Pelodiscus sinensis: one gene and its partners. The protein of the gene in region 2 purifies or fractionates together with the protein of the main gene of each other region. This does not show direct contact. Links are inferred from orthologs where the notes say so. Each region holds a gene or a part of one and is shown on either strand. Other genes may lie near its edges. The genes, in order: SF3B2, U2AF2, TRA2B and PSMA4.

Region 1 (7,288 bases), on a different chromosome or scaffold from region 2:
TGTCTTGTTTATAGTTTTCTTTTAAAGTCTCTCTCCACACCCTGTGTTCTTAGAATCATAGACTCATAGAGCTGGAAGAGACCTCAGGAGATCATCAAGTCCAGCCCCCTGCCCAAGGCAGGACCAATCCCAACTAAATCAATACAGCCAGGGATTTGTCAAGCAGAGACTTAAAAACCTCTAGAATAGTGATAGAGATGCAGCCATGTTAGTCTGGCGTAGCTGAAACAAAAGACAGAACTATGTAGCACTTTAAAGACTAACAAGATGGTTTATTAGGTGATGAGCTTTCATGGGCCCATCTTGTTAGTCTTTAAAGTGCTACATAATTCTGTCTTTTGTTTTAAAAACCTCTAGGGATGGAGATTCCACCACCTCCCTAGGTAACCCATTCCAGTGCTTCACCACCCTCCTAGTGAAATAGTTTTTCCTAATATCCAACTTAGACCTCTCCTACTGTAACTTGAGACCATTGCTCCTGGTTCTGCCATCCGTCACTACTGTGAACAGCCTTTCTCCAGCCTCTTTGGAACCTCCCTTCAGGCAGTTGAAGGTTGCTATCAAATCCCCCCTCACTCTTCTCTTCTGCAGACTATACAAACCCAAATCCCTCTGTCACTCCTTATAGGTCATGCACTCCAGCCCCCTAATCATTTTGGTCGCCCTCCGCTGGACCCTCTCCAATGCATCCACATCCTTTCTTGTTTTATTCCTCTGAGGATTGGAGCACCTTGTGAAACATATCCTCCTTGGTTGCTTCCAAGGCACCCCACTAGTGTGTAGGTGTGACAGTGTTCCCAAGGGGCAACCTGAACAGTGATGTTGCTGAGCCCTCTGCCCTATCAACCTGGGCTCTCTCTTATACTGTGATGCCGTTTGCAAGCCACAAACCTCTGGTAGGTACTGCATGTACACAGACTTCCATGGACAGGACCATACCCACGCTGAGTTACATGAATGCTCCTGTCAGTCACTCAGGAACCAACAATAGACAGGTTCCAGCCAATTCCCCACAACTTTCCAGCTTCGAACACCATCTGTACCATCTTGCTCCGGTAGCCTTGTTCAGCCAAACCGCACTGTTGTAGGTTTATTAACTACAGTAAGGTAGATTTTCAGTGATCATAAGTGGTAGGCACGAGAGATCAGAGCTAGTTATCAAAGGAAAGAAAAGAAAACAAAACAAAACAAAAGAAAAGGGCACAAGCTAAAGCTTAACCCTGAACACACTAGGCAGTATTTAGATCTAGCAGTTTATAGGGATGTAAAATCCTGATTAATTGGTTAACTGGTTAAATGCGATGTTTAGCCAGTTAAAGGGGGCTGGGCTGAGCCCGTGCAGCCCCTGCTGCAGGCAGGAGCAGCCCCTGCCTGTGATGCACCTGGGCCTGCCGCAGACAAGAGCTGCTCTAGCTGGGCTGGAGCTACCCCTATCTGTGTGGGCCCTATTGGGGTGGAGCAGCCCCTGCCCACAGCAGGCAGGAAGCTGTTGCAGTCCCCACTGGTTAACTGGAGCCAGTAAGCATCAACTGTTAAGGGTTAACATTTTGGGTGCTTAGCAGTTTACTCGCCCACGGATGCTACACAGCTCTTAATACACAGGCTTCCCTCTCACTCCCAGAGCAGTCCCACATAGGATTGCCAGGTATCCGGTTTTGAACCGGACAGTCCAGTATATGAGCTTTCTATTCAATAAACAAATTGAGAAAATATAAAATTTGGAAAATCATGGAAGATGGGAGAGATTCCAGAAGACTGGAAAAGGGCAAATATAGTGCCCATCTATGAAAGGGAAATGAGAACAACCCGGGAAACTATAGACCAGTCAGCTTAACTTCTGTGCCAGGAAAGATAATGCAGCAAGTAAGTAAGGAATTCATCTGCAAATATCTAGAAGATAATAAGGTGATATGGAACAGCCAGCATGGATTTGTAAAGAACAAATCATGTCAAACCAATCTGATAGCTTTCTTTGATAGGATAATAAATCTTGTGGATAAGAGAGAAGTGCTGGACAAGTATACCTAGACTTCAGCAAGGCATTTGATACGGTCTCGCATTATATTCTTATCAATAAACTAGGCAAATACAACTTAGATGGGGCTACTATAAGGTGGGTGCATAACTGGCTGGATCACCATTCTCAGAGAGTAGTTATTAACAGTTCACAATCCTGCTTGAAAGCTATAACAAGTGGGGTTCCGCAGAGGTCTGTTTTGGGACCGGTTCTGTTCAATATCTTCATCGACGATTTAGATATTGGCATAGAAAGTATGCTTATTAAGATTGCAGATGATACCAAGCTGGGAGGGGCTGCAACTGCTTTGGAGGATAGGGTCATCATCCAAAATGATCTGGACAAATTGGAGAAATGGTCTCGGGTAAACAGGATGAAGTTAAATAAGGACAAATACAAAGTGCTCCACTTAGGAAGGAACAATCAGTTTCACACATATAGAATGGGAAGTGACTGTCTAGGAAGGAATACGGCAGAAAGAGATCTAGGGGTTATAGTGGACCACAAGCTAAATATGTGTCAAGAGTGTGACGCTGTTGCAAAAAAAGCAAACATGATTCTAGGATGCATTAACAGGTGTGTTGTGAGCAAGACATGAGAAGTCATTCTTCCTCTCTACTCTTCACTGATTAGGCCTCAGTTGGAGTATTGTGTCCAGTTCTGGGCACCACATTTCAGGAAAGATGTGGAGAAATTGGAGAAGGTCCAGAGAAGAGCAACAAGAATGATTAAAGGTCCAGAGAACATGACCTATGAAGGAAGACTGAAAGAATTGGGCTTGTTTAGTTTGGAAAGATGAAGACTGAGGGGGGACATGATAGCAGTTTTCAGATATCTAAAAGGGTGTCACAAGGAGGAAGGAGAAAAATTGTTCTTCCTGGCCTCTGAGAATAGAACAAGAAGCAATGGGCTTAAACTGCAGCAAGGGAGGTTTAGGTTGGACATTAGAAAAACTTCCTAACTGTCAGGGTGGTGAAACACTGGAATAAATTGCCTAGGGTCGTTGTGGAATCTCCATCTCTGGAAATATTTAAGAGTAGGATAGATAAATTCTATCAGGGATGGTCTAGACCAGTGGTCTCCAACCTTTTTAAGCACGAGATCACTTTTTTAATTTAAGTGCAATCCAAGATCTACATCACACCCAAATACCCTTGCCCCGCCTCCTTTGTGCCCCTTCTCTGAGGCCCCGCCCTCCCCGCTCACTTTCACCCTCACTTTCACCAGTCTGGGACAGAGGGTAGGGGTGTAGGCTCTGGACTTGAATTAAGGGATTTGGAGTGTAAGAGGGGCTCTGAGCTGAGCTTGGGGCAGGCAGTTGGGATGCTGGAAAGGGTTCTAGGTGCAGGCTCCGGCAGGGCATTTGGATGCAGTGCTCCGGGCTAGGGCAGGGGCTTAAGGTGTAGGAGGGGGTTCATGACTGGGGCAGGGTTTCAGGATGTGGGCTCCAGCTGGGCCCTGCTTACCTCAGGTGGCTCCTGGGTGGTGGTGCAGTGGGTATAAGGCAAGCTCACCCCTGCCCTGACCCTGCTCGGCCAGCAAACTCCATTCCAAGCAAAAGCAGCCGGCAAACTCCATCCCAAGACTTGTTGTGCCCCCTCTATGCCCTTGGAGATAGGACACAGAGTGGGAGAGGGGGCTCCCTGACATAAGCATCCTCCTTTCCCTCCCCTGCCCAGTAAGCAGGAGGCTCTTGAGGAGACAGCTCCAAGACAAACGGCAGGAGAAGGGCAGCAGTGGGGGTGGAGGGCAGCTGAAGTGCCGGCACTTGATAGCTTCTTGCCCAAACCAGTCAGGATCCCCTGTCCGAGGCTCCAAGATCTACCAGTAGATCCGGATCTACTGGTTGGTGACCACTGGTCTAGACAGTAGTCGGGGACTGGACTCGATGACTCTCGAGATCCCTTCCAGTCCTAGTATTCTATGATTCTATGAGATGAGAAAATATAAATGTCTGGTATTTTCTAAAGAAGATGTAATGTAGAGTGTGGTGTAATGTAAAATGTGTCCGGTATTTTTGTTGAAACCATCTGGAAAATGGCTAGTCCCACACTGGCCACTCCATCTCTTCAGAACTACAATTCCCAGCATGCAAAGCTCTTTGAGGTGGGCGGGGTCAGCGCCTCCTTGCCTTAGAACTACAACTCCCAGAGGACAGCGCGGTAACTCGTTTCTTTTTACTGGCCACGTGCGCGCTGATGCTGCTTGCTGCGGAGGCGCTAAGGTCTACGATACCGAGAAGGCGGCGCGCGAGGCTGTGCGTGTTGACGTTCGTTACGCTGGATGCGCCGCCGCGGCGTACATTGCCGGAACGCAGCGCTTCTTCTGTTTAGCGGCGGGCCGCCCGCCGCGTGGTGACGTATGACGACGTCGCCTACGGCGGCTGTTCAGGGTCCGACCGGGCGGGAAGATGGCGACCGAGCACCCGGAGCCGCCGAAGGGGGAGCTGCCGCTGCCGGCCTACGGGGCTTGGGCGCCCGCCGAGCTGCAGGCCAAGCTGGCGGAGATCGGGGCCCCGGTTCAAGGTGCAGCCCCGCGGGGGGCGCTCAGGCGAGGGCGGTGCTTAGGAATGGGGCGGGAGATACCGGGGGCTGCGGGGGGGGGGGGGGCGTTGCTTGGCGCTGCCGGGGGGCAGGGGCGGGCGGGGCAAACGGCTGGTGGTGGCTCAGGGTGGCTCTGACGCTTCATCTGTATCCTCCAGGCAGCCGCGAGGAGCTGGTGGAGAGGCTGCAGACCTACACGCTGCAGGTGAGTTACTCGCATGGGGGAGGAGACCCGCTCTGCCACCAGACATGGCCTCCCCTTGGCCGGGCCATTAGCGCCAGCCCTAACTCCCCCACCCCTCTCCTCTAGCTGAAAGGGATCTAAAGGGAGCCCCGAACCTAGGGCTGGCAACCTGCAGTGGGAGACTTTACTGCCTGGCGTGCACTGTGGTGTCACACGACCTGTGGGTATGGTAGAGGGGTCTTCCACCTTCACTGCCCCAAAGCCACATGCACAGTGTGAGCAGTAAACACACTCCACAGCCTTGTGATTAGTGACATTGACTAGGAACCAAGAGGCAAGCAGCCTGCATTCCCTGGCATTAGAGCAAATGAGCAGCATTAGGTAGTGAAGACTGATGCAGTGGTTAGGGCATCAGCTGCGGCTCAGGAGACCTGGGCTCTAGTCCCTACTCTGCTACAGACTCCCTGGGAGACCTTAGGTGAATCACCCAGAGTCTTTGGCCCTTAGTTTGGCATTTGTATCATTGGGCTAATAGTGCTGCCATCCTGTAAGAATAAACAAATTAACAAGTGGAAGGTGTTCAGATAGTGTGTTAACAAGGGCCAGAGAGGTACCACTCAGCTTCAACTGTAAGCTGGGTTGTGACCATCCCCTGATTGAACCATCATGGGTGCTAATGACTTAAAGGAAATTGTGAATTTCCTCATAAGACTGGAACGTGTGGGTGCTATAGCTGTGTGAGGTGGAGGACGTCAGTGACATAGACATCACTGTTCAGATGCCACGAGGGTGCTCTGTCCTAGTGAGGGTCCTTAAGGCTCCATCTGGGCTACTATATTCCTTCCTGTCACATGGTACAGCAGGGTTTGACTAGCCCACTCTCCCGCCCAACAGCAGAGAGATAATGGCAAGTGCTCTGTTGTGGCCTCTGCTCTCCACCCCAGTATGTCTGTGGATGTTGATAGTAATCAGCAGGGCTCACCGAGCTGCAGATCGCCCGAATCCAGCTCTTCCGGGATGTAATCTACTCGCCCATGGCGAGTAGATTACATAGATAGTCGAGCCCTGGTAATCAGGACAACTGTTCTGCACACTGGTGGGAGATGGGCTGCTGATGTTTGGACTACTGGGGGTGGTTTTATTTCTATCCCCATCTCTGTGCCACATGGCCCTGGGCCTTCTTGGTATCAGTATCCCCATCTGGATTTCTGTCTTGGTTGTGGTATTTTGTGTTGTGAAGGTCTTTGTGCAGCATCTGCAGGTTCCATCTTGCTTGGAGAGCTCCACCTTATTGTCTGTCCTTGTGGTGATGGAGAGTTGGTCTCCCCAGGGCCTGGATTTCCTTTCCTGACCCAGAGCATGTCAGTGAGGCCTCTAAGAGAAGCTCCCCAATGGACAGACTTTCACTTGCTTTGCAGCTATATTTATTGTGTCCTCCCTCCACAGACTGGCATCGTGCTGAGCAGGCCGTCTCTCAGGGGAGATGACGGTGACAAACCCACCCCGCCACCAATACCCGGACAGGTGAGTGAAGGGGTCATAGAGAGGAGGAATCTTGGCCTGGCTAAGCCACAAGGGCTTCCCTAGGGACTGGCTGTCTTGCTGTAGATTTCCTATGTTGAGAGGAGGCTGTCTGGGTGACTGACTTCAGTTGGTACTTCCTGCCAGGAGCTGTTGCTAACCCCAGCATCCTGAAGAGCAATACTGTTCTACTTTCATAAATCCATCCCACTCTTTCTGGGATCCAGGAGCTTCCTGCTCATGCTCACCAGTGCTGAGTGGCTCTTGAGCTGGTACTGCTGCATTTGCATTCGGGTGCAGCAACTCGGTGCTGGGTGATGGATCTTGGTTTAAATAATCTGTGATACTTCACACTCTGTGTTGGTCTTTACCTCGTCATCTCTTCTCTCATTTATAGCTCTCTGGGATCCCCTTGCCCCCACCCCCCATGGGGATGCCACCCATGCAGCCTCCACCACCCCCACCGCCTCCCCCTGGCATCAGCCTCAACTTCCCTATGGCCGTGGGGCCCCCTCCACCTCCCCCAGGTATGGGGCCCCCCCTCCGCATGCAGAGCGTGGACCCTTCAGCGCTCTCAGAGGAAGATCGTCTGAAGCTGGCGCAGCAGCAGGCTGCCATGCTAATGCAGCAAGAAGAGAGGGCTAAACAGGTAAGAGCTGTACTGCAGGCAGTGGGGTAGTGGTTTTGTCCTTCAGTGCTGGCTCCAGGGTGGCTTATGGGGTGCTGTGCTGTAGAGGTTCCGTCTTTGGCTCTCCCCTGTCTCAGTGCTGACCTAAGTGCCCTTGTGTGGTGTGAGCAGGTGCTGTGCTGCAGAGACCTGGGGGGCAGTGAGTGCTGCAGTGTGGTTAGCCTTGTGCTGCAGGATATCTGCTAGGTTATGTAGAACAGCCACTTTGTTTGTCAAGAGCCTGGGCTTTTTAATCCTGGCATCTTGGTTGCATCTTAGCTACTGTTTTGCCATTTGGCCTCCTTGAATCCCCCCTTCCCAAGTGTGATTTTAGTTGTATGTGGAATCCTTCACAT
Region 2 (7,518 bases):
CTTTTAATAGGATCCCGGCTCTACTGGCTCTGGAGCCACGCTGCACTTTGACGTAAGCTAGCTCCCAAAACACAATCTTCTGCTGTTTGCATAGGGGCTCGGCGGACAGCAATGGTGCTGGAACAGACTCCGCTTTACACCACAGCAGGATGTCCCATGTGCTTCCTTCCACAGGCAACAGAGAGGATCAATCTCCCAGCCACACAAGGGATTTTAAACCTATGCAGGTCCCGGGTCTGGATCCTCAGAGGGGTTTTTCCCTCTGAAAGCTCCAAGCAGGGCATCCACCCCCAATTCTATTACGGGCAAGAGACTCACACCTGGCTCCAAACACTTGCCTCTGGCTGCCGCTCCCCAGCATCCAGACATTAAGCCCTGGGGTGCCCCATGGTAGGGTGATACCTGCCCCTCCCCTCACCCCTTGGGGCTTATTTGCCAGGAGGGGACGACGGCCACAAGGGGATAACTTGGATTTCCCTCTCTCCCCACGGAGGGGCCTGAGGCTGCCGGGAGTGGGGGAAGGTGTTCCTGCCCCTCTCTCCCACCCCGCCACCTAGTGGGGGGGGGGGGGGAGCACACCCACATGTTTCAACCTCTCCCTAGCCTGCTACAATTAATAATCAAAATTCAGCGTCTCTGCCCAAGGGGATGGATACAGGGTGGAGAAGGTTAGGCAGGAGAAGCAGGGGCTGCCTGGGGGAGGAGGGGGGGGTTGCCGGCAAAGGGGCAGCAGGGAGGGGGCTGTGGGGATTGAGTGGGGCACAGGGAAAGCTGGCGGGTTGGGAGCAATCAGGGGCAGGCTGGGAGGTGGTGACAAATGGGAGCAGGTGCTCAAGAAGCGGGCAGGGAGCTCTGGGCACCAGCACAGGTTGGGGTGCTGCTGGGGGCCAGGTGGAGCAGGAGCATGGGGTCTGGCACTGCTATGGGGCAGGCAGACAGGCACTGGCAGAGGAAAGGGGAAGCGGAGGATGGAGAAGCTGTGGGGAGGTAAAGGGTAGCCAGCTGGAAGGCTATGGGGGGGCGTAAGAGGCACTCAAAGGTTGGGGGCCACGAGCTGGAAGGGGACTATGGAGCAGGGTGCGAAAGGGGGTGCTTAGGAGAAGGGATGCTAAAGGCATGGCTATTGGGACTAGGGGAATAAGAGCTATGGGGCAGGCTGAGGAACAGGGGGTGGGGGTCCTGCAGTGATTCTCAATGGGGTGGTACAAGCAAATTTCAGGGGGCAAGCTGGGCCAATGTTAGACTAGCTAGGGCCTAGTATGAAGCCCTGCTGCATGAGAATGAAATCCAGGGACCTGAGCCCTGCCCCCGGGACAATATAGTTTCATGTGGGCCCAGTGCCATGGGGCTGCAGGCAACTGCCCTAACTCCAACCCTGGCTTTTAGATGCAAAAAACCACTTATGGGGGCAGAAGTGGCTGGCTAGTTTTTATAGCATGGGGGAGAGGCTCAAAAAGGGTAAAACATGCAGGGTCTATGGGGTAGGGGAGAAATGAGGCTTGCTAGGAATCTATAGAAGCAGGGGACTATAGGGAGTGGGGGGGAGCCATGGACCAGGAGATCTCTGGGGATGGCTGGGAGGCCGAAAGGGCAGGGAATCTATGGGGCTAGCTAAGGGTCTCTGGGCTGGGGAGGGTCTAGGAGATGAAGTATAGGGGGGGTGGTCCATGGGGCTAGCGGAAGACCTAGATGGGAAGCCCATGGGACTACCTTGAAACTATGGGGTAGAAGAATCCATAGGACTGGATCAGAGGGGGGAGGGGGTTTACGGGGGCGGGAATCTGTGGAGGTGGGGGGAAAAAACGTGGGGTGGAGGGGGGGCCCCTATGGTGTGGTAGGGAGCCTGAGAGAGCACACTGTAGTGCAGGGGGAGCTAGGGAGCTAGCCAGGGGGCGCTATGGGGTGGGAGGGGAAGCCCGGGGGGGCGCTATGGGGCACGGGGTATCCATGTGGCTGGCGGGGAGGAGCGTTTTGTGGCGAGAGAGTCCGGGGGGGGGGGGCCATGGGGCTGGCCTGGGAGGTGCTACGGGGCGGGGGAGAAGCCCTAGGGAGCGCTATGGGGCAGTAGGGAACCTGGGGGCGGCCGCTATGGGGCGGGGGGAAGCCCTAGGGAGCGCTATGGGGCAGTAGGGAATCTGGGGGGGGGGCGCTATGGGGCGGGGGGAAGCCCTAGGGAGCGCTATGGGGCAGTAGGGAACCTGGGGGGGGCGCTATGGGGCGGGGGGAAGCCCTAGGGAGCGCTATGGGGCAGTAGGGAACCCGGGGGGGCGCTATGGGGCTGGCCAAGGAGGCGCTAGGGGGCGGGGGGAATCCATGGGGCTGGCCGGGGGGGCGCTATGGGGCGGGGGGGGCCCCGGGGACGGACGGGAAGCGCCCCCCCCCCCCGCACGCTACGGGGCCCCCCGGGGGCCCCGGCCCGGCCGCGCCCCGCCCCCACCTTGCTTGTTCTCGTTGAGCTGCCGCTCGAACTCGTCGAAGTCGGACATCGCGGCCCCCGCCTCGCTCCCGCACAGGCCGCGGCGCCTCCCGCTCGGCCCCTTCCGCCCCGCGCTCGGGGAGCTCCGCCGCCGCTCGGCCCCTTCCGCCCCGTGCTCGGCAATCTCCGCCACCGCTCGGCTACTTCCGCCCCGCACTCGGGGAGCTCCGCCGACAGTCGGCCCCTTCCGCCCCGCGCTCGGGGATCTCCGCCGCCGCTCGGCTCCTTCCGCCCCGCGCTCGGGGATCTCCGCCGCCGCTCGGCTCCTTCCGCCCCGCGCTCGGGGATCTCCGCCGCCGCTCGGCTCCTTCCGCCCCGCGCTCGGGGACTCTCCGGGCTCCTTCTGCGCGGAGACTCCGCCCACGCCCGGGCCGCGGCTTCGGAAGATTCCGCCTGCTCCTCGGCTCCGCCCTCCCCTCCCGCCTCTTCGCAACGCTGCTTCGGCTGCGGCCGGAGACGGGGGGAGGGGGCTTCGGCTCTTTCCGCCTTCCCGGCCGCGAGAGAGGAGAGCGCGCGCGGTCGCAGGGAAAGGGGCCAGAAAGAGGCCACTTCCGGTAGGGGGCGGAAATGGCGTATGGGGGCAAAGGGCAGCTCCTCCCACTCCCATAAGCCCCACAACTGCCCTAGAGCCCCGCCCCCTCCATGCTTCCTAGGTTCCCATCACCATTGATGGCCTGCCAGCTCCATGGGCATCCTGTCCCATAGCCCCCCCCCCCCACACTGAGCCCCTCCCAGCCCCATGGTCACCCTGCCCCATAGCCCCCTCACTGAGCCCCTCCCAGCCCCATAGTCACCCTGCCCCATAGCCCCCCCCACTGAGCCCCTCCCAGCCCCATGGTCACCCTGCCCTATATAGCCCCCCTCACTGAGCCCCTCCCAGCCCCATGGTTACCCTGCCCCATAGCCCCCTCACTGAGCCCCTCCCAGCCCCATAGTCACCCTGCCCCATAGCCCCCCCCACTGAGCCCCTCCCAGCCCCATGGTCACCCTGCCCCTTAGCCCCCCCCATAGTCACCCTGCCCCATAGCCCCCTCACTGAGCCCCTCCCAGCCCCATAGTCACCCTGCCCCATAGCCCCTTCACTGAGCCCCTCCCAGCCCCATAGCCACCCTGCCCCTTAGCCCCCCCCATGGTCACCCTGCCCTATATAGCCCCCCTCACTGAGCCCCTCAGTCACCCTGCCCCCATAGCCCCCTCACTGAGCCCCTCCCAGCCCCATAGCCACCCTGCCCCATAGCCCCCCCCATGGTCACCCTGCCCTATATAGCCCCCCTCACTGAGCCCCTCAGTCACCCTACCCCCATAACCCCCTCACTGAGCCCCTCCCAGCCCCATGGTCACCCTGCCCCATAGCCCCCCCATGGTCACCCTGCCCTATATAGCCCCCCTCACTGAGCCCCTCAGTCACCCTACCCCCATAGCCCCGTCACAGAGCCCCTCCCAGCCCCATGGTCACCCTGCCCCATAGCCCCCCTCACTGAGCCCCTCGGTCACCCTACCCCCATAACCCCCTCACTAAGCCCCTCCCAGCCCCCATGGGCATCATGCCCCATAACCTCCTCACTGAGCCCCTCCCAGCCCCATGGTCACCCTGTCTCCATAACCACCTCACTGAGCCCCTCCCAGTCCCCTATAGCCCCACAGAGCAAAGCATAATTCCTCAATTACTCCCACCCTCATAGACCCCCCCCCCCCCCCACCCTATAAAGGGTTGCTCATCCCTGGAGGTTTCATCTTCTGATAATGTTCCATTTTTGGGAACTCCAGGATAATCCTGGTGGGCTGGCAGCCTTTGCCCCATAACTTCCTGCTAGCCCCCTATTGAGCCTTACTGTCCCAGACATTCCATAGCCCTACTGAGCCCAGTAGTCCCCACTACTCCAGACATCCACCCTGTGCCTCACAGCAGCCTCATAATTTGCCTTTAGCTACCCACGGTCCCCCACTGTCACCCCCGAAGCCCCCACTAGCCAGACATTCCACAACTTCCCTCATCTGAGTCCCATAACTTCCCTTTAGCCACCCCATAGTCTCCATAGGGTGGAGGCCTGTGTTGCATTGGTTGCTGCCCTTGAAGTTCTTACAGTCGAAAGAGACAAATGTGGGGAAACTGAGGCACCACGGTGTGTCCCAACTCCTATGTAAACATCTGATCTGCGCCTCCAGCCTGGTTCTGTGCTTGGAAGATGCAGGTCTGTGCATTGATTCAGCATTGATGTGGTGGGTGGAGCCAGGTTTACCTGTGTATTTACCCCCACCAGCCCCTCGCCTCCCAAGGCAGGCCACATCTCCCCAGTGGTACCCTTCCCCCCATCCCATCCTCTTGCCCTCCCCCATCAAGCCAATACCCACCCTCAAGTTGAGCCTTTTGTCTCCTTCCCTAACCCTACCTCACCCCCCCACACACAACTAAATATAATCCCTTGCCTGGCCCCCTGCCCCTCACTTACCCAGCCCCCTATATAGGCCACCCAACAGAGTCACTTCTCCCCAATCCCATCTAGCCCCTACCCAGATGGGGCCCTAGACACCCACACCCTAAATCCAGACCCCCACAGCCAGCCTCCCTTTTGCATTTAAAGAGCTGGCTAACGGAGCTCAGCATCCAGGTTGTAGGGACCATAGGCCAGGGACCGTGTCCCTTTTCCGGTCAGAGTCACTAAACAGCTGCCCACGGATGCCTGGAGTTCACGGGGGTGAGATGCAGCGTTCCAAAGCGCCCCCCAGAGACGGATGGGGAGGGGCCATGGAGTGGAGGTCTTTGTGGGCCTCTTCGTACCAGGCACTGTCCGAATCCATGGAGGAGGCAGCCCCAAGTGTAAGGAGGAACAGCAGGGGCCCATAATCATCATTCCTGAGGTCCCAAAATCATGGCTCTCCTCCCAGGGCTTTTCTCAGAGCAGCCTGCTTGGACCTCTAGACCCCACTATCCTCCCAGAGCCAGGGAGAGAACCCCAGAGTCCTGGCTCCCAGGCCCGCCTGTAACCACTAGACCCCACTGTCCTCCCAGAGCCAGGGACAGAACCCCAGAGTCCTGGCTCCCAGGCCTGCCTGTAACCACTAGACCCCACTGTCCTCCCAGAGCCAGGGACAGAACCCCAGAGTCCTGGCTCCCAGGCCCGCCTGTAACCACTAGACCCCACTGTCCTCCCAGAGCCAGGGAGAGAACCCCAGAGTCCTGGCTCCCAGGCCCGCCTGTAACCACTAGACCCCACTGCTCTCCCGGAGTTCTGTTCTTTCAGCACGACCCCACCCTTCCATGCTAAAGGGATATAGCCACCCTATCTGAAATACCAGCCTCTTATTCTAGGGGGCCAGTCCAAGGTGGCTGGAGAACTCCTCTGGCTTGAGTGGGGGGCTCCTGAGGTCTAAAGGGATTCCGGGCCATGGCACAGAAAGGTTCAGGGGACAGGGTATCCCAGGTCTGGGCCAAGATGGGCCCTGTGTGTACGCGGGCCTCTGTCCATCTTCACTCCAGCCCCTTTCGGGGGGGAGGGGCTCTCTCCCTCGTGCTCCACCAGCCCCATTTGGGGAGCGTGGGCCGACGGCACCGCTCTGGGACAGAAGATCAGCCCAACGTGCCCATCTCACACGGTACTGGGCCAGCTTAGCACGAGATCACTTCCGTGGACCCCCTCTGCACCAGGCAGTGGGGCCCTGTAAGAACAGCCCCTGCACCCAATCAGACCACATCTCAGCCCCAGAGGAGGGGGTCCCTCGCGAAATAGCTCCTGGCCCAGAGAGTCTGACTCATACCAGGTGAGAGGTTATGGTATAAAAAGCCCCCAATGCCCTACTCCAGAGGCAGCTGCATTCCAGCACTCGGTGAGGGGTTTCTCCATAGAGCACCCACCCCAGAGCTGGTCGCATTTCCACACGAGTGTCTCCATCGAAACAGTCTCTGCACCCCACCCCAGAGGCGCCTGTTTTTAGGCCCAAGGGAAACTTTTGATAAGTAAATGAGACTCAGGCCTTGATTTATTCCAAATTTTCTTTTTTTTTTTAATTTAAATTCTCTTAATAAATTGATTTTTGTAGTTTTTTTTTTCTTTTCTTTTCTCTTTTTTTTTTTTTTTTTTAAACATAGAGAGGGCATGAAAGAACAGGCACGGTGGAGAAGAGTTTGTTACACGGAATTAAAAGGGGCGTCCCGGCCTGGCGCCCCTTGCACTCACGTACACATACAGGGCCAGCAGCTCGGGGCCGCGGTGCAGGGGAGGGACAAATCGCCCCCCCCCCCCAAAAAAAACCAGGGAACGGAGGAACTCAATGAAAACCCTGCGAGGGGGGCAGGGTGAGGCACCCAATTTAGTGCTTTCATCGGTGCCAGGCGGGAGCAGATGGAGTCAGTACCCACACTGCCCTGGGCACGGGGTGAGGGCGGCATTAGCAGGTGACGGAGCAGGGTGTGGGGGGAGAGGAGGAGGAGCGGGGTGGGGGGGGTCAGGTTTGGTCTCTAAGTGACGCGGGATCTGTATGCGGCGTGGATTTGAGGGGAGCAGTTCAGGGCAGGGGAGGTGAGGAAGGCAAGGCAGGCAGGCAGGTTGGGTCCAGGATCCAGACACCCCGCCCTCCAGTTGGAGATCGAGCCAGGATGGCCAATCAGCACAGTTTCTAGCAGCCTGTATGGCCAATCGGCACAGCACCCGCCCCCCCAGCGTCAGACCTTTTCCAGAACTGTAGGGGTAAAATTGACAAGCTGGGTCATGATTCGAGCCAGCAGCTCCAGGCCTCATTCCCTGAGCCAGCCAGTCCCCGGCATGTGCCTAGATGGGGCCCACACCACCTCATGAGGAAAAGCCCCACCCCCCTCCACCCCACTCCTCTGCCCCACAGAATTGTGCTCAGGCCTAATTTTTAGGCCTGACCTGGACCTAAAAGAAGGTCAACCTGCTTTCTCCAGTGTCACCTCCCGTGCTTGTGGGGCCGGTCCCCTCCTGGCCCCGTGGCCCGTTCCCGCAGTGCAGACAGACCAACCCTACGGGCAGGAGAGCCTGGTGTGTTCCTTGGAGTCTGGTCCAGCCAGCCCCACCCTACCCATT
Region 3 (7,928 bases), on a different chromosome or scaffold from region 2:
GTATATAAATGGTAAGTATGTTTTTTTCTTTCAGAAACATGCTGGTCTAAGTACAAGATGTAGACATGAAAAGACTGGAAAAACACTAACCTAAAATGTCTTTCAGAAAAACATCTGATAATGTCTAGCATCTTCCAAGTACCATGCCACTTAAAAGGGAACCAAGCCCTCAATTGTTGATCATTTAGGCCAGGGGTGGGGAACTTTTTTTGGGATGTGGGCCACTGACCCATAAAAAATGAGTCGGGGGGGGGGGGGGGGGAGCAAAGTGAGAAGACCCCGACTAAGAAGAAAGAAACTCCCCACATTCCTCCTGCACACTAGAGCCTAGTGGGAGGCTGGAGCACTTGCATGGGTTCCCCAAGGCTGAGCCTCAGGGGCTGGATCCAGGCAAGCTGGGGGCCACATCCGGCCCCTGGGCCTGAGGCTCCCCACCCCTGATTTAGGCTATATCTACACTGCAATGTAAATCTTTCTTTGGGCCTGGGGTCAAAGGTAAGGATGTTAAATTATGCTTAATCAACTAATTGAGTAGTCAGATTTCCATTGACTGCTTGATTAGTCGATAAGGGGGGAAACTGCAGACCTGCAGAGGGGTTAGCTCCTCCCAGCACTGGCTTCTGCTCCTCCACTGGTTGCCTTTAATAGAGGCAGCAAGGAAGACGGGAGCAACTAGCTGAGTAGTGACTTGACTAGTCACTTACATCCCTAGTCAAAGGTAACCCCTTTGGGTCTATACTGCAACTGTGTTCACACAGAAGCAGGTGCATGCAGGGCTGGAGGGTCCAAACACAAGTCAAGCCCAGGGATCGGTTGGAAGTTTGCCACAACTTCCTTAATGCTCTTACCTGCAATAATCTGTAGCTATACTCTTAAAAGTCCAGTACTACTGTCCAATACTGGTAAATCTGCACAAACTATGAAATTCTATACGTGCTACTGAAAAGATGAGTATAGAGACAATTTATGATTTCATACTAACATCTTACATATTGATTTCCATTGAAAGCTTAATTTTGCTGTAAAATAAAAGGAAACACAAAATCTCCGTAACAGGTTACCAACTATGCTATTAAACAGTTAACCAGGAACATAAGGCTTACTGGTAAACTGGCCCTTGCAGGTGAACTCCAGCAGTGGCCGGCCAGTGGGCCGGAGCAGCTCTGGCAGGCCCTAGTTAAACTATTAACTAGTTTATCACTAGCATTTAACCAGCTAAACATTTTAACATCCCTATGACCAACCAATATGTAGAAATATAAACAGCTACATCAGTCTCAGGCATTCAAATTCTGCATGGTTTGAATTACTAGTTTATCTATGTGGATTGCATTGATGAGTCTTTTTTTTTTGGCAGCTATCTAAATAATTCATCTCTCCATTTCTGATTACTTTCCATTTGTTTGCGTAAGAACATTTTTGCAGTAAATACTGCTTGTTTCTGAAGATGCTTTGTACTGTATCGTAACTGCAGTACTACAACTAGGCTTTCACAGCTAATTGTGCATCCCTCGTGAACATGAAGGATAATACTGCCCCAATAATCACAGTGCGATAACTGCAATACTACAACTAGGCTTTCACAACTAATTGTGCATCCCTCGTGAACATGAAGGATAATAATGCCCCAATAATCACAGTGCGCAGAACCCAACTTCAGGTCAGATTGCAATTTCAGGTCAGATAGTACTGTCCAGACACACTTTTAAAGTTACTGTGAAACATGGCTCAAGAGGCCAAAGTGTGTGTGTGTGAGGACTAAAATTGTAGCTGTTTCAAGGGACAAATTTAAGATTTTTTTTTAGACAAATTACAAGTAATTAAGAATCAAAGTTAAAAGTCTGAAGATTTAACTCACCCAGGCAATTACAATTTTTGGTAATTAATTAAACATTCAGAGGTGGATTACTTGCGCAAAGTAATCATGAACACTATTATCAAAGGACACAAGTATCAAGTTTTGCAGCAGGACCAGGAAGAACGACTGGACACTGTTGTGGTCCCCGCAGAGGTTTCCCAACCACTGATCAATCGGCCATAGCTGCACCAAGCACAAGTCTACAGGATTGGTGTCTGAAGCACCGCGCGCTCCCAGCTTCGAGGAGACAGGCCACAAGCGAAGACACAGCCACCCTAGGCACCCGGGACCCTGCTGAGCTCGCATTGGGGGGTCAAGGAGAGCAATGCTCGCGGCTGGGGCCGGACAGACACCGTGAAAGCTCCGCCCCGAGTCGGAGTCCGCGCTCCCGTTAACACGTGTCGCTGCAGCCAGCGCCGAGCGTCCCGGCAGCTCCTCGACTCGGTGTCCGCGCCCGGCCCTCCCCACACGCCGCCCCTCTCCCCGCGAGCTCAGGCACCAGGCTGGGGCTGGCTCCGCGGAGCACGGGGACAGCCGCGGGGAGGCGGAAGCCGCAAGCCCAGCCCCAGGGGCCTGCGGGGCGGCCGCCCCCCCCTCAGGGCCGGGCCGGGCCAGCCCAAGTGCGGGAGGCGGGGCGGGCCGGCTCGTGGCCGCGCTTCCCGGGAGCGGCAGCACACGCGCGCCCGGCCATTTTGTCCCTTTGGCGGGTCCCCAGCCCAAGATGGCGCCGGGAGGACTCACCATGGAGCAGGCAGCCGAGCGGCTAGAGCGCCCCCGCCTCCCCCCATTAGCGGCCCGGCGCCATTTTCCCGCGCCAACCCCCGCCAGCTCGATCGCCCCGGCCCCCCGCGCGCTGCTCGCGGAGGCTCCGCCGGCCCCCGCGCCGGCCCCGCCCGCGAGCCCAGGCCCGCGCCTGCCCCGGTGGGCGCAGGCCGGGCCCGCCCCGGCCGGGCCGCGCTGGCGCTGTGCGGGCCCGGCCGGCTGCGCACGCAGGCTCCGTGTATTACCCGCTCGCCGTAGTTCTGCTCCCCGCTGTCGCTCATTGTCCCGCGCAGCCCGTCAGCAACCGTCGCGCCAACCGCCACTGCCGTCCGGCGCCTGTGCCCGCTGCCAGGAACGGAAGTGACGCGCGCCCTTGGCCAGCCCCGCCCCTGTGGGAGCCGGCCGCGAGCGACGCATCCGGTGGGCTGGAACTCCCTCGGTGATTGGATGAGCCTAGCCCCGCCCCGCCCGCCCCCGCCTCAGGGGGGAGTCTGGCCCCGCCCCCACCTGTCCCCTTCCCCCGGGACTGATACTAGAGATGTAGCCCTGTGAGCCTGGTGTAGCTGGAACAAAAGCCAGGACCATGCAGCGCTGTAAAGAGGGGTTAGTAGGGGATGAGCTTTCGTGGGCCAGACCCACTTCCGCAGATCAAATAGTGGAAGAAAAGTGGCACGGCCATATACACCAAAGGGTACAATCAAAAAAAGTGAACACATATAAAAAGGACAAATCAAATTTCAGAACAGAGGAGGGATGGGGGGAGGTAAATGTCTGTGAGCTGATGATGTTAGAGGTGATCACTGGGGAAGCTATCTTTGTAATGGGTAAGGTAATTAGCATCTTTGTTCAGACCCCAGCGTAAAGTGTCAAATTTAAGCATGACTGACAGTTCAGAGGTTTCTCTTTGAAGTCTGGCGTTAAAATGCCTTTGAAGCAGTATGCAGGTAATCAAGTCGTTGAGACAATGCCCTTTCTGGCTGAAATGGCAAGAAACTGTTTTTCCTTTTCATAGGTGTTCATTTTTTAAATTGTATCCTTTGGTATATATGGTTGTGACTATTTTCTTCCACTATTTGATCTGAGGAAGTGGGTCTGGCCCACGAAAGCTCATCATCTAATAAACCATCTTGTTAGTCTTTAAAGTGCTACATTGTCCTGCATTTTGCTTCAGCTACCCCAGACTAACACAGCTACATTTCTATCACTGTTTTTTCTTTATGATACTGTCTGATATCCGTTTTGTGGGCATTGATTCTTTGGCGAAGCGACTGAGACGTTTGTCCAATGTACATAGCAGGCGGACACTGTCGGCACATGATGACATAAATTATATTTCTGGATGAGCAGGAATATGTGTTCTTGATCTTATAATTGAATTGATGAGGTCCAATAATAGTGTCAGCAGAGTAAATATGTGGACAAAGCTGGCAACGGGGTTTGATGCAAAGAAAAGTTCCAGGGTTGGTACTAGTGTGGTATGTCCTGTGATTGTTGGTAAGAATCATCCTGAGGTTAGGTGGTTTTCTGTAGGAGACTATGGGTCTGTCTCCCAGAGCCTCTCGAAGTGTAGTATCCTGTTCTAGTATAGGTTGTAGTTTATTGATAATGTGTTCGACGGGTTTAAGTTGGGGGCTATAGGTGATAACAAGTGGTGTTCTATTGTTGGTTTTCTTGGATCTGTCTTGAAGTAGATGGTTTCTGGGTATTCGTCTGGCTCTTTCAATTTGTTTTTTTATTTCTCCAGGTGGGTAATTGAAGTTTATAAATGCTTGGTAGAGATCCTGAAGTTTCTGGTCTCTGTCAATGGGATTAGAGCAGATGCAATTGTATCGAAGGGCTTGGCTATAGACGATGGATCATATGGTGTGTTCTGGATGGGAGCTGGAGGCATAAAGGTAACTGTATGAGTCAGTGGGTTTTCTGTAGAGAGTGGTGTCTAATTTACCATTGGTGATTTGTACTGTGGTATCCAGGAAATGGATCTCTCATGTAGAATGGTCCAGGCTGAGATTGATGGTGGGGTGTAGGTTGTTAAAATCTCTGTGGAATGTCTCCAGTGTTTCTTGGCCATGCGTCCAGATCATAAAGATGTCATCGATGTAGCGTAAGTAGAGAAGGGGTAAAAGGGGACAGGATCTGAGGAAACCATAAAGATGTTAGCGTACTGTGGGGCCATGCGGGTACTCAAGGCTGTGCCACTGATCTGGAGGTATAAGCTGTCCTCAAATTGGAAATAATTGTGGGTGAGAACAAAGTTACATAGGTCTGCTATCAGGTTGGCAGTGGTGTCCTCTGGGATAGTGTTTCTAATCGCTTGTAATCCATCTTCATGTGGGATGTTGGTGTATAGAGCTTCTACATCCATGGTAGCAAGGATGGTGTTATCAGGGAGGTTATCTTGTTAATCTTTAAAGTGCTACATAGTCCTGTTCTTTGTTCCCCGGGACTAAGGGGGAGTCCAGCCCTTAGGGTTCCCATGTGTCCAGTTCCCCAGGGGCAATGCGGAGGGGCTGCTGGGTGTGCCCAGAGAGGGGCATTTTGGGGGCACTGGGAGGGGTAGTTGGGAGGTGCCTGTAGTGGGAGGGGTATATGGGAAATCCTGGCCAGGATATATGGGTGGGCCTGCTGGGGGGCAGTGCCATGTGTCCCTGTCAGGCTGACACAGCACATGCCCTCCCCGCCGCCCTTTCTCTCTCTCCAGGGTGGGGAGCTGGGACCTGGCCCTGTGACCCCTCCTGGCTGGGCTATGAGGCCCTGCCGTGGGGCAGGCGGCCTGGCTGAGAGGTGTTTGGCAGCTCTGTTTACCTGATGGGCCAGGCCAGGGCGTGATCCGGCAGCTGTGGATGCAAAGATGCAGGGTGTAACCCAGGCAGGATGGGTGGGGCAGCTACCCAGGGCCCAAAGCCAGAGAGGCAAAATAATGATGGGGAGGTTGTAGGCCTGCTTGCCTTGGGCACCGACGAGCCTAAATGGCTCTGTGGGGTGACTTTTTCTGATCTGCAAAAAACAAAAGAAAAATCCTGGACATTTTTTCCACATTTCAAAATTGCGCATGGCTGGAGATCAGAGGACAAGAAACAAGTTCTTGTTGGTATGGTAATTTAATCCCTTCTACCCTCTCACATGGACTGAGGTGTCAGTCTAATCTGCCTCTTCCCCAAGATTATCTCACTACCCAAGAAAAAACAATGACTCAGTTTCAACCTGGGTGCCAGTAGCAAGAGCTTAATGGAGCATATAGCATGGACTGATGTATTGGTGCAAATTCTTAGTGTACCTGACAATTTCACAAAGGATGCTGTTTAAAATAACTGGCATTTTAAATGCCGTCACCAGAAAAGTATTGCTTTTACTAGTCATATTCTCGTGTTACATACAGCGAATACCTGCTTTAATCAGTCAGGAAAGGGAAAATCAGCCTTAATTTTGTCAGAGATCAAAATAGTGTTTACTGAGGCCTGATTTACACTATAAAGTTTTGTCAGTATAGCTATTTTGGTCAGGGGTGTGAAATAACACACTCCCTAGCTGACAACGCTGTACCTTCAGAGCTCCTTGATGTAGATGCAACTTAAAGCAGCAAAAGGCATTTTCTATTGACATAGAATGCCTCCTCGAAACATACTAGCAATGCTGGCAGAAAAGTTCTGCATCTCACCTTTTGCTATTCGGTTAGTCAGGAGGGGGTTAAACTAATATAAAAGGAGTAGGTAAAAAGAGAGAAGATATGAGCACGCAGCACAAAATTGAGATGTTGAGAATTAAATTAATCAAAGAACCAAAGGTCATGAAGAGAATAAATTATTGTATTGCCTATATGGTAATACAGCAGCCTGGGTTCCAAACAGGAGAAACTAGAATTGCATTTTTAGGAACCCAAATTGGATGTAGTTGCACAGCTGTAAAATTAGACTCAATGGTTATAACCGATTTAGGAAGGGTCAAATGGACAAACAGAGATGGGCAACGGCATTCTATGTCACAAGAGGCAGTACCTGTTTCCAAGTCACTAAGAACGTGGAAGAAGATGATCATAGAATCATAGTACAACAGAATGGGAATGGACCTCGAGAGGTCATCAAGGCCAGTCCCCTGCCCTTACGGCAGGACCAAGCACTGTCTTGATCATCCCTGGTAGATGTCTGTCTACCCTGCTCTTAAATATCTCCAGTGATGGAGATTCCACAACCTCCCTAGGCATGCTTATGAATAAAAGTCCCAACAGACTAAGCACAAGCTGGTGCCTGCTATACCTGGAGTCCTCAACTTTATTTTTTTCTGCCCCCCTTCCCCTCCCCTCCAAATTTGCTATGAAAAGTCCATGCCCCACTTGTGCTACAACAACTAGTTTTCTCCATATAAAAACCAGGGCTGGCATTACAGGACAGCAAGCAAGGCAGTTGCCTGAGGCCTGATACAATAGAGGACATCATGAAGCTAAGTTGCTCAGGCTTTGGCTTCGGCCATAGGTGTTAGGGCTCCAGGCTTCAGCCCCATGTATTGGGACTGTGGCTTTCTGCCCTGATCCTCAGTGCATAACACTGACCCTACTTGAAGGACCCCCTAAAACTTGCTTGAGGCCCCCAGACCCTGGTTGAGAACCAGTGTGCTTCACACAGCCCTGTCTATAATGTGAAGGCAATGCTTTATATTTATGGGGAACTTCAGTCTGAGTGACATATGTGGGAGGTTTCACGCTGCCAGTACTAAACCATCCTTGGAATGTCTACACATTATAAATGACAATTTTCTAATTCAAATAGTATTGCAAATAACATGGGGGAATTCTTGGATCGTGTCCTAACAGATACAAAGGGACTGATTGCAGAACTTTGAGTTCTTTGAGGGGGTCAACAAACATGTGGACAAGGGGGATCCAATGGATACAGTATACTTAGATTTCCAGAAAGCCTTTGACAGGTCCTTCACCAAAGGTTCTTAAGTAAAGTAAGTTGTCATGGGATAAGAGGGAAGGTCCTCTCATAGATTGGTAACTGGTTAAAAGACAGGAAACAAAGGGTAGGTGGCAAAATTTGCAGATGATACCAAATTGCTCAAGGTAGTTAAGACCAAAGCAGACTGTGAAGAGCTTCACAAAGATCTCACCAAACTAAGTGACTGGGCAACTATGGCAAATGAAATTTAGAGTAATGCACATTAGAAAAAAATAATCCCAACTATACACACAATATAATGGGGACTAATTTAGCTACAACTACTCATGAGAGGTCTTGGAATCATTGTGGATAGTTCTCTGAAAACATGTACTCAGTGTGCAGCAGCAGCAGTAAAAAAAGTAAATAGAATG
Region 4 (7,226 bases), on a different chromosome or scaffold from region 2:
GAGGAGAGAAGTTCAGGGCTCCCCACAGGCAAGAATAACTCTGCTGGGGTCCCAGAGTTAGTAATTTTGTAGGCGCCCCCAGGCTTTGACGTGGAGCCAAAAATGAGGGGGTTCAGTGTGCCCAGGGGGACAGCTGAAGAGCAAGATAGGAGTGCAGGGTCAGGATGGGAGGTAGGGTGCAGGAGCAGACTGAGGATGAGAGGTCTGACTGGGAGGTGGAGCGCTGAAGCAGAGTGGGGATGTGGGGTCTCAGTGGGAGGGCAATGGGTGTGTGGAGTTTGGGGATTAGGGGGTGATTCTGGCCAATGGGAACAGCGAAGAAAGTCTCCAGGAGAGTGGTTTCCTATGCTGGCATCTGCCCACTTGGGTTCAAATAGTGACTTTCCCTCAGCTGGAGGAAGAGGGAGTGGCAGCATGTGGAGCCACTTCCTCCCCCCATGAGCCAGATCCGGGGAATCTTCCCCATTTACCCTGCAGTGGGAAGCCAGTGCTGAAACTCCAACCATTCGGAAGGGAGGGAGCAGGGCTGGACTGCCAATGTAGTAGACCACACTTTGAGAATTACTGTCTTAAAGAGCTATTAAAGCTAATCCCGGTAAAAAATTTCACTCAAGAAATCAAAAGTCCTCAAAGTAACAAATATAAAACCAGTAAAACTGTTTTATGCTATTTGAACGACAGAAGTAATCAAATGTCCTATTAGCAATTATAACTGCAATGAACATGTTTTACTGACAAACTCAACTTACTCATTAAGTTTATATATCTTCTCTGAAAAAAATACTTCATCTAGAAGCTTGTGGATATTGCGCCGTTCTGCTGCTAACAACACACCATCATTTGCTAAAATTCCCAGACAAGTGCCTGCATGGCCAATTGCTTCCATAGCATATTCAACTTGATATAAGCGACCTAAAAAAGAGGTTTCAATTGTTAAATTCAACCATTTAACTCTGAAAAGGACCAAGTCTACAAAGTGTTGAGTATCTCATATAACATACTAAGCGTAACTCAGCCAACTCTCACAGATGTCCCCATATCACAGGAACAAGTCTAAGACTGTCACTTAACAGGTCAGAATCAGATAAGCAATTCAATGAACACAGTGGCAGGTTCAGATAGAAACAAACATTGTCCTTAGAGAGACAATTAATACAAGTTATCTACAAAAAAATTACAAAAGCAGAAACGGAGACAATTATGGATTTTTCAAGATTCAAATGGAGTTTTAGACACTTCTATGAATAAATAGCATCAAATGTTACTCTAGGTAGGATACTATTGTATGGGCTATCAATCCTCATGTGCCAATAACTAGGACACTTTTTCCTTGTATCATTCCAAAATGTAAGATTGTACTACTAAACAATGGTTTGGATTTTGTATTAATATTAAAATTAAAGCATATCTCCACTATGGCCAGGAACTCCCTTATTGTTTTGGGTATCATTTAATGTGAAGATCTGATTTCAGTGTCAGAAATGAAACTCAAGGAAATTGTCAACATTCTAGACTTTTACATGTGTCACCTATTGTATAAAATTTTAGGTATATATGAGGAGAAAAGTTGATAGGTTAAGAAGGTTCCCATTTACAGAACAATACCTTCTGGAGAAAATATAGTAGTTCTGGAATCATATCTTCGAGACTGTAACAAAGAGAGAAAAACTCCAGTAACTGTTTTTCCTTTTAGACAGAAAAAACATTATTCTGTAATTCTGTTAACCATGTATAGCAGTAACATAGTGATTTGACTTTAATATCTGTGAGATGTACAGGTAGTTTTGTTACTATTATTGTACTAGTTACCTTTTAAAAACTGAGAAGCCCTGTGGCACTTTGGAGACTAACAAAAATATATATAGTATTATGAACTTACCCTTTATTGCTAATCAAGAGACGAGCGTTCAATTTACACTAATGTCAATGCTTTTTCCTTTTATCCCTATCCCAATCAATGTCTTCCTCTCACAAAAGTTGTACAACCAATACTGTAAATACTTCTGCATGTGCTTAATTTAGGTAAAATTAATGTGGGCAAAGTTAAGCAGGTGTATAAGTGTTTTCAAGAATATAACTTCTGTTATTTACAGTTATTTAGCTGCAGAGAGCTTAATGATACTACTGTACTAAACAACAAAAATATATTTCATTAATAGTAACTCACCATTTTGCATGTATGTTACACTGTAAAAAAATAAAACCAGTCAATTAAAATACGTTTTCAGAGCATAACATTTATCAGACACGGAAAATGATGTACAAAAATATTTACTACAGTAATAAGCCTTCGATAAAAGAACCTCCGTTTCTTTATTGTTCTTATAGAAGGATTTTAAAAGGTTGCAGTTAAGTTTTTAAGAGTCACGAACTTCAGTGATGAGCTAATTAAAGGGGAGCATGGGACTCACCTTGACAGGTGGTAGCTGAGCCCCCAAAAGCCCCTTTCAATGCACTGCTGTAACGCAGCAGCCCAGTGCTTTCTCTGCGGAGCAAGGGGCGAGGCGGGGGAAAGTTTCTTCCCCTCGTTTCCCCAGAAACATTCCTATTCCCAGAGAAAACTTGGGACAGGCAAGACGCCATCCCCTGCACGACTGGGAATTCAGTCCCCCCCCGCCCGCCTTCCCGGGGTGGAGGCCAGCCCGACCCTGCCTAGCCCTCTCGCGCGGGAGCCACAGCCCGAGAGAGGCTCAGGGGCTATGGAGTCCGCCGGGCCAAGCAGGCCCCGCCAGACTGAGCCGTTCACCAGCGGCTTCCGCAGCGTCATCCCCCCGCCTCCCGCCGACAAGGCCTCCCCGCCTCCCGCTGCACACTGGGGGCTCTTACTGTCCTCGACCCCAGCCGCGCCCCTCAGGCGGCGTCTCCCCACTTACCGCCGAGCGGGGTGCGCTGGGGGGCCGCCGGGAAGAGACTTGTCTTGCCACAGGCCACTGAGCCGGCCCCTCGACGCGTCCCAAAATGGCCGCCGCGCACGCGCGAGTCCCGGCTCAACTAGGCGCTGCTGGGGGTGGGGCGCGCTGCCCGGGGAGACAGGGCCTGGCAGGACTCGTCTGCTCTGAGCCCTGAGCCCTTCCGCGGCCTCCGCCCTCTGCGCCTTGTCTCACTACAGCAGGGCGTGGCCTGGCGCGGCGGCCTAGTGCCCTTCTCAGTAATCAGAGGGGTGAAGAGGGGAGTCTCGCAGGGCTCTGTCCTGGGCCTGAGCCTAGTCAGCGCGTCCATACATGATCTGGAAAGTGAGGGGTTACATTAGCATGCGACACTCAAGCGAGTAGGGCGAGGAGCTACACAAGGATCTCCCAACATTGGGGCTGTGTCTACGCTGGCATGAATTTCCGGAAATGCTTAAAACGGAATACTATTCCCTTTTCAGTTTTTCCGGAAAAGGAGCGGCTACATTGGCAGGCTGCTTTTCCGGAAAAGCTCTTTTTCCGGAAAAGCGTCTGTGGCCAATGTAGACGCGCTTTTCCGGAAAAGAGCCCCGATCGCCATTTTTGCGATCGGGGCTTTTTTCCGGAAAAGACTACTGGGCTGTCTACACTGGCCCTTTTCCGGAACAGTGTTCCGGAATAAGGACTTATGCCCGAGCGGGAGCAGAATAGTTTTTCTGGAATAGCGGCTGATTTTGTACAGTAGAGCATCGTTGCTTTTCTGGAAATTCAAGGGCCAGTGTAGACAGCTCGCAGCTTATTCCGGAAAAGCGGCTGATTTTCCGGAATAAGTGACCCAGTGTAGACACAGCCTGGGTGACTGGGCAACAAAATGTCAAATGAAATAAAATGGTGATAAATGCAAAATGTGCCCTGGAAAACAATCCCAGCTACACACAAGCGGGGAGGTGGCATAGCCAGAAGGGCCAATTTGAGTGGGCCCAACTTAAAATGGGAGGGCAATGGTGGTGGGGGGCCTAAGCCCTGGTGGTGAGTCCCCACTCCCCAGCTAGATCGCCTGGTGGAGCAGGGTGAACCTTGGTGCCCTAGCCTGGCTCCTGGGCTAGAGCAGCAGCAGAGTGGGTTAAGTCCTGGCCTGGTTCCCAGGCTAGAGCAGTGGGTAAAATGGGGTAAGCCTGGTGCCTCGGCCCCACTCCCAAGCAGGAGCTCCAGGTGGAGAAAAATAAGCCCTGGCTCCACTCCCTGGCTGGCATGCCAGGTGGGTTGGTAGAGGAGGACCAGTATTGGGCCATATGAGGAAACCCCTGGAGGGCTGCAGGGTGGACCATGGCCCATTCAGGCACAACAGTGGCTACACTCCTGGTATAAATTAGCTGTTACTACCGTAAAATCTCGAGTATAATGCGCACCTCCCTTTTAAACATCAGAATTCTTGAATAAACTAAACTCTTATCTATAATGTGCACCCCCATTATACTCATGATTTTATGGTATATATAGGAAGGAAGGGGCTTGCACTTGCTGCGGGGCCCCCTGCCCAGCTGAGCTAACGCCTGCTGCAGGGCCCCCTTCCCAGCTGCCCATGCTGAGACAGGGCAGGCAGCGAGCCAATGCAATGCAGCCTAGCAGTGCCACTGGCTCCTCACTTTGCCTGCCGCGGGGCCGTCTGCCCGCACTGAGCTCATGACTGCTGCAGGGTCCCCCTGCCCAGCTGAGCTTGCACCGCGCTGAGCTCATGCCTGCCGTGGGGGCCCCTGGGCGCAGCCTGAAGGAGCAGCTGGCTCCTCACCTTGTCCGGGAGCCTGGTGAGGCTGCAACCCTGCACTGTGCTGCAACAGGAAAGTTTCTGTGCAGAGGGAAGGAGAAGTTTAAAACTTTAAAAAAAATAGCTCTTGTGTATAATGCACACCCAGGCTTTGACCCTAAAACACCGGGGGGGAAAGTACGCATTATACTCGAGATTTTATGGTACTTAAGAAAAAGATCTTGAAGTTGTGGATTATTTTTTGGAAACATCTACTCAATGTGCAGCAAAAGTCAGAAAAGCAAACAATGTTGGGAATCACTAGGAAAGGGATAATAACATGACAAAATATAATTTTGCCCCTATATAAATCCATGGTATGCCTACATTTTGTGTACTGCATGTAGATGTGATTGCCCCAGCTCAAAAACAATATATTAAAATTGGAAAAATTAAGAAAAGGACAACAACAAATATATGGGGCATGGCAGATTAATAAAATAGATTTGTCAGCTTGGAAAAGAGATGAATAAGGGAGACTATGATAGAGGCATAAAATCATGATGAGTATAGTAAAAGTGACTAAGGAAGTGTTATTTACTCCTTTTCATAACACAAGCCATAGTAGAAGGTTTAAAACAAATAAAAGGAAGTATTTTTTCATACAATGCATAGTCAGCCTATAGAACTGCATGCTCTGAAGATGTTATGAAGTCCAGGACTATACGGGTACATCTACACTGCGGCGCTATTTTAGGACACTTCTGGTATCCCAAAATAGCTATTCCGTATCTTTTAAACAAGCCTGTTATTTTGAAATAGCTTTAAAAATAATCAGGCTTACTCTTCTGATGTCCCTGTAAACCTCGTTTCACAAGGATTAAGGGACACTTTGGAAGAGCGATGTATTTCAAAACACATTCAAAATAAGCTGTGCAATTTGCGTAGCTAAAATTGCATAGCTTATTTTTAGTATGGGTGCAGTGTAGATGCACCCTACTAGGGCTCAGAAAAGAACTAGATAAGTTCATGGAGGACAGGTCCATCAATGGCTTAGCCAGGATGGGTAAGGATGATGTCCCAGTCTGGGAGTTGGCAATAATTTTTGCAGGGGGAAGTTGTCTGGGATTGGTCTAGACTACAGATGTAATACTGTAATTGATTAACTGATATCGGTTAATGCTGTAGACTACATGCCTTTCCCTCCCCTACCAGCAAATTTTTTAGTAGGCTGGCCAGCAGCCTGGCTCAATCCTGGCTTACGATAGGTCTAGGACCTCCCGCTGCTGTGGCTGTGCATTTAAAGTGTATTAGGAGCAAGACGGGCAGACAGCCCAGGTCAGTTCCGGCTTGCACCAGGTCTGGGAGTTCAGACACCCCGCCGCCCCACATGGGCTGCTGCCACCCCGTGCTGTTGTCTCTATCAGGTTTTTTAATTGGCTCACCTCACGTACCAGCTCCCGCCTGGCACCCCATACTGCTGCCTCTGATACAGAGGCAGCATTGCAGAGTTCCAGGGGACTCCTCAGGAATGGGGCTCGAGTGCATAGGCTGCTGGCCTCACCCCTGGGGACTATAGAATAGTCAACTGATAAGAATTCATGAGGCTACTCGACTAATAAATTAACCGATATTTAACATCCCTAGTCCAGGCTCCCGGAAGGAGTGGGGTGTCAGCCAAAAGGGACGGTGCTGGGGCTAGAGAGAGAGAGTGTGTGTGTATATGTGATACAGACTAAGTGTGACTGTGGCACAGAGACTGGGAGAGTACTTGTGTGCATAGTGACTACATGTAAGTCAGAGAGACAGTGTGTGACAGAGTGGGTGGCAGACAGACTGGGTGTATAACACACTAGATGTGGTGTGTGATACAGAGAGTGTAGGAGAGCGAGCTAGCTGCTGGAGAAATCTTAGAAACAGTTCACTGTCTCTTTGAGAAACACTCATCTCAGTCACCATTCATACCTCAGATTGGAGCAGCTCTCTGCGACCCCTGCTTTGCAGAGATGGGGAATGGGAAGGAGGACACACTGACATCAGTCCTCTGCTGTTGTCACACTCCTCCTCCTGCACAGCTGCTAGGAGAGTCCTGGGAGAAGCTTAGCTGCAAGACTGAGCAAGGTGTGGGGAGATGCAGCTGAATACACACGGCTGGCTATAAATGTGCATGCTCTGGCAAAGATTAAAAGAAACATTTTTGTATTTGTGTATTGTGCCAAAATTAAACATGGAAAATTTATTTGAAAATATACTTCCTGTGTCAGACAAAGATGGACAAAAACTAGATCCATAGGCGGTAGGTGCATAGACGGTAGGTGCAGCTGGGGTAGGGGAGGCAGGATCCCAACCCCACCTGCAACCCTGCCCCCTCTGCTGAGGCCCGGCCTGCATGGGAAGGGGAGGAGACAGGGCAGCATGCTGAGCATACCGGACACCTGGCAACCCTAGAGGGCAGGTGCTCAAGGCAGCAACACTCTGCCCCAAGAACGCCTACAGCAGCCGTTCTGGGGGGCAGAGTGTGAGCATGGCTGTGCCTGGTGGTTTGGGAGTCATAGGACACCCAGGACTGGATCCAAAATTCACTGAAATCAAGG

Evidence for each region.
Region 1: the proteins of U2AF2 (region 2) and SF3B2 purify together in Homo sapiens (affinity purification with mass spectrometry; 3 studies listed by BioGRID and IntAct, counting the BioPlex papers as one, with this or other methods). This does not show direct contact. The link is inferred for Pelodiscus sinensis from reciprocal best matches to the Homo sapiens genes U2AF2 and SF3B2.
Region 3: the proteins of U2AF2 (region 2) and TRA2B purify together in Homo sapiens (affinity purification with mass spectrometry; 4 studies listed by BioGRID and IntAct, counting the BioPlex papers as one, with this or other methods). This does not show direct contact. The link is inferred for Pelodiscus sinensis from reciprocal best matches to the Homo sapiens genes U2AF2 and TRA2B.
Region 4: the proteins of U2AF2 (region 2) and PSMA4 fractionate together in Homo sapiens (co-fractionation; 3 studies listed by BioGRID, with this or other methods). This does not show direct contact. The link is inferred for Pelodiscus sinensis from reciprocal best matches to the Homo sapiens genes U2AF2 and PSMA4.

What each region holds. Positions count from the first base shown.
Region 1 is NC_134721.1:32,231,622-32,238,909, reverse strand, and holds the start of SF3B2 (splicing factor 3B subunit 2), read left to right. Parts: upstream 1-4,234; 5' UTR 4,235-4,427; coding exon 4,428-4,542; intron 4,543-4,718; coding exon 4,719-4,765; intron 4,766-6,190; coding exon 6,191-6,268; intron 6,269-6,662; coding exon 6,663-6,914; intron 6,915-7,288. UniProt on the Homo sapiens protein: Component of the 17S U2 SnRNP complex of the spliceosome, a large ribonucleoprotein complex that removes introns from transcribed pre-mRNAs.
Region 2 is NW_027465849.1:3,175,572-3,183,089, forward strand, and holds the start of U2AF2 (splicing factor U2AF 65 kDa subunit), read right to left. Parts: upstream 3,036-7,518; 5' UTR 2,487-3,035; coding exon 2,438-2,486; intron 1-2,437. UniProt on the Homo sapiens protein: Plays a role in pre-mRNA splicing and 3'-end processing. By recruiting PRPF19 and the PRP19C/Prp19 complex/NTC/Nineteen complex to the RNA polymerase II C-terminal domain (CTD), and thereby pre-mRNA, may couple transcription to splicing.
Region 3 is NC_134720.1:3,414,420-3,422,347, reverse strand, and holds the start of TRA2B (transformer-2 protein homolog beta), read right to left. Parts: upstream 3,025-7,928; 5' UTR 2,902-3,024; coding exon 2,866-2,901; intron 1-2,865. UniProt on the Homo sapiens protein: Sequence-specific RNA-binding protein which participates in the control of pre-mRNA splicing. Can either activate or suppress exon inclusion. Acts additively with RBMX to promote exon 7 inclusion of the survival motor neuron SMN2.
Region 4 is NC_134724.1:39,552,116-39,559,341, forward strand, and holds the start of PSMA4 (proteasome subunit alpha type-4), read right to left. Parts: upstream 3,010-7,226; 5' UTR 2,874-3,009; intron 2,590-2,873; exon of another isoform or gene 2,412-2,589; intron 2,188-2,411; 5' UTR 2,171-2,187; coding exon 2,168-2,170; intron 1,649-2,167; coding exon 1,606-1,648; intron 913-1,605; coding exon 750-912; intron 1-749. UniProt on the Homo sapiens protein: Component of the 20S core proteasome complex involved in the proteolytic degradation of most intracellular proteins. This complex plays numerous essential roles within the cell by associating with different regulatory particles.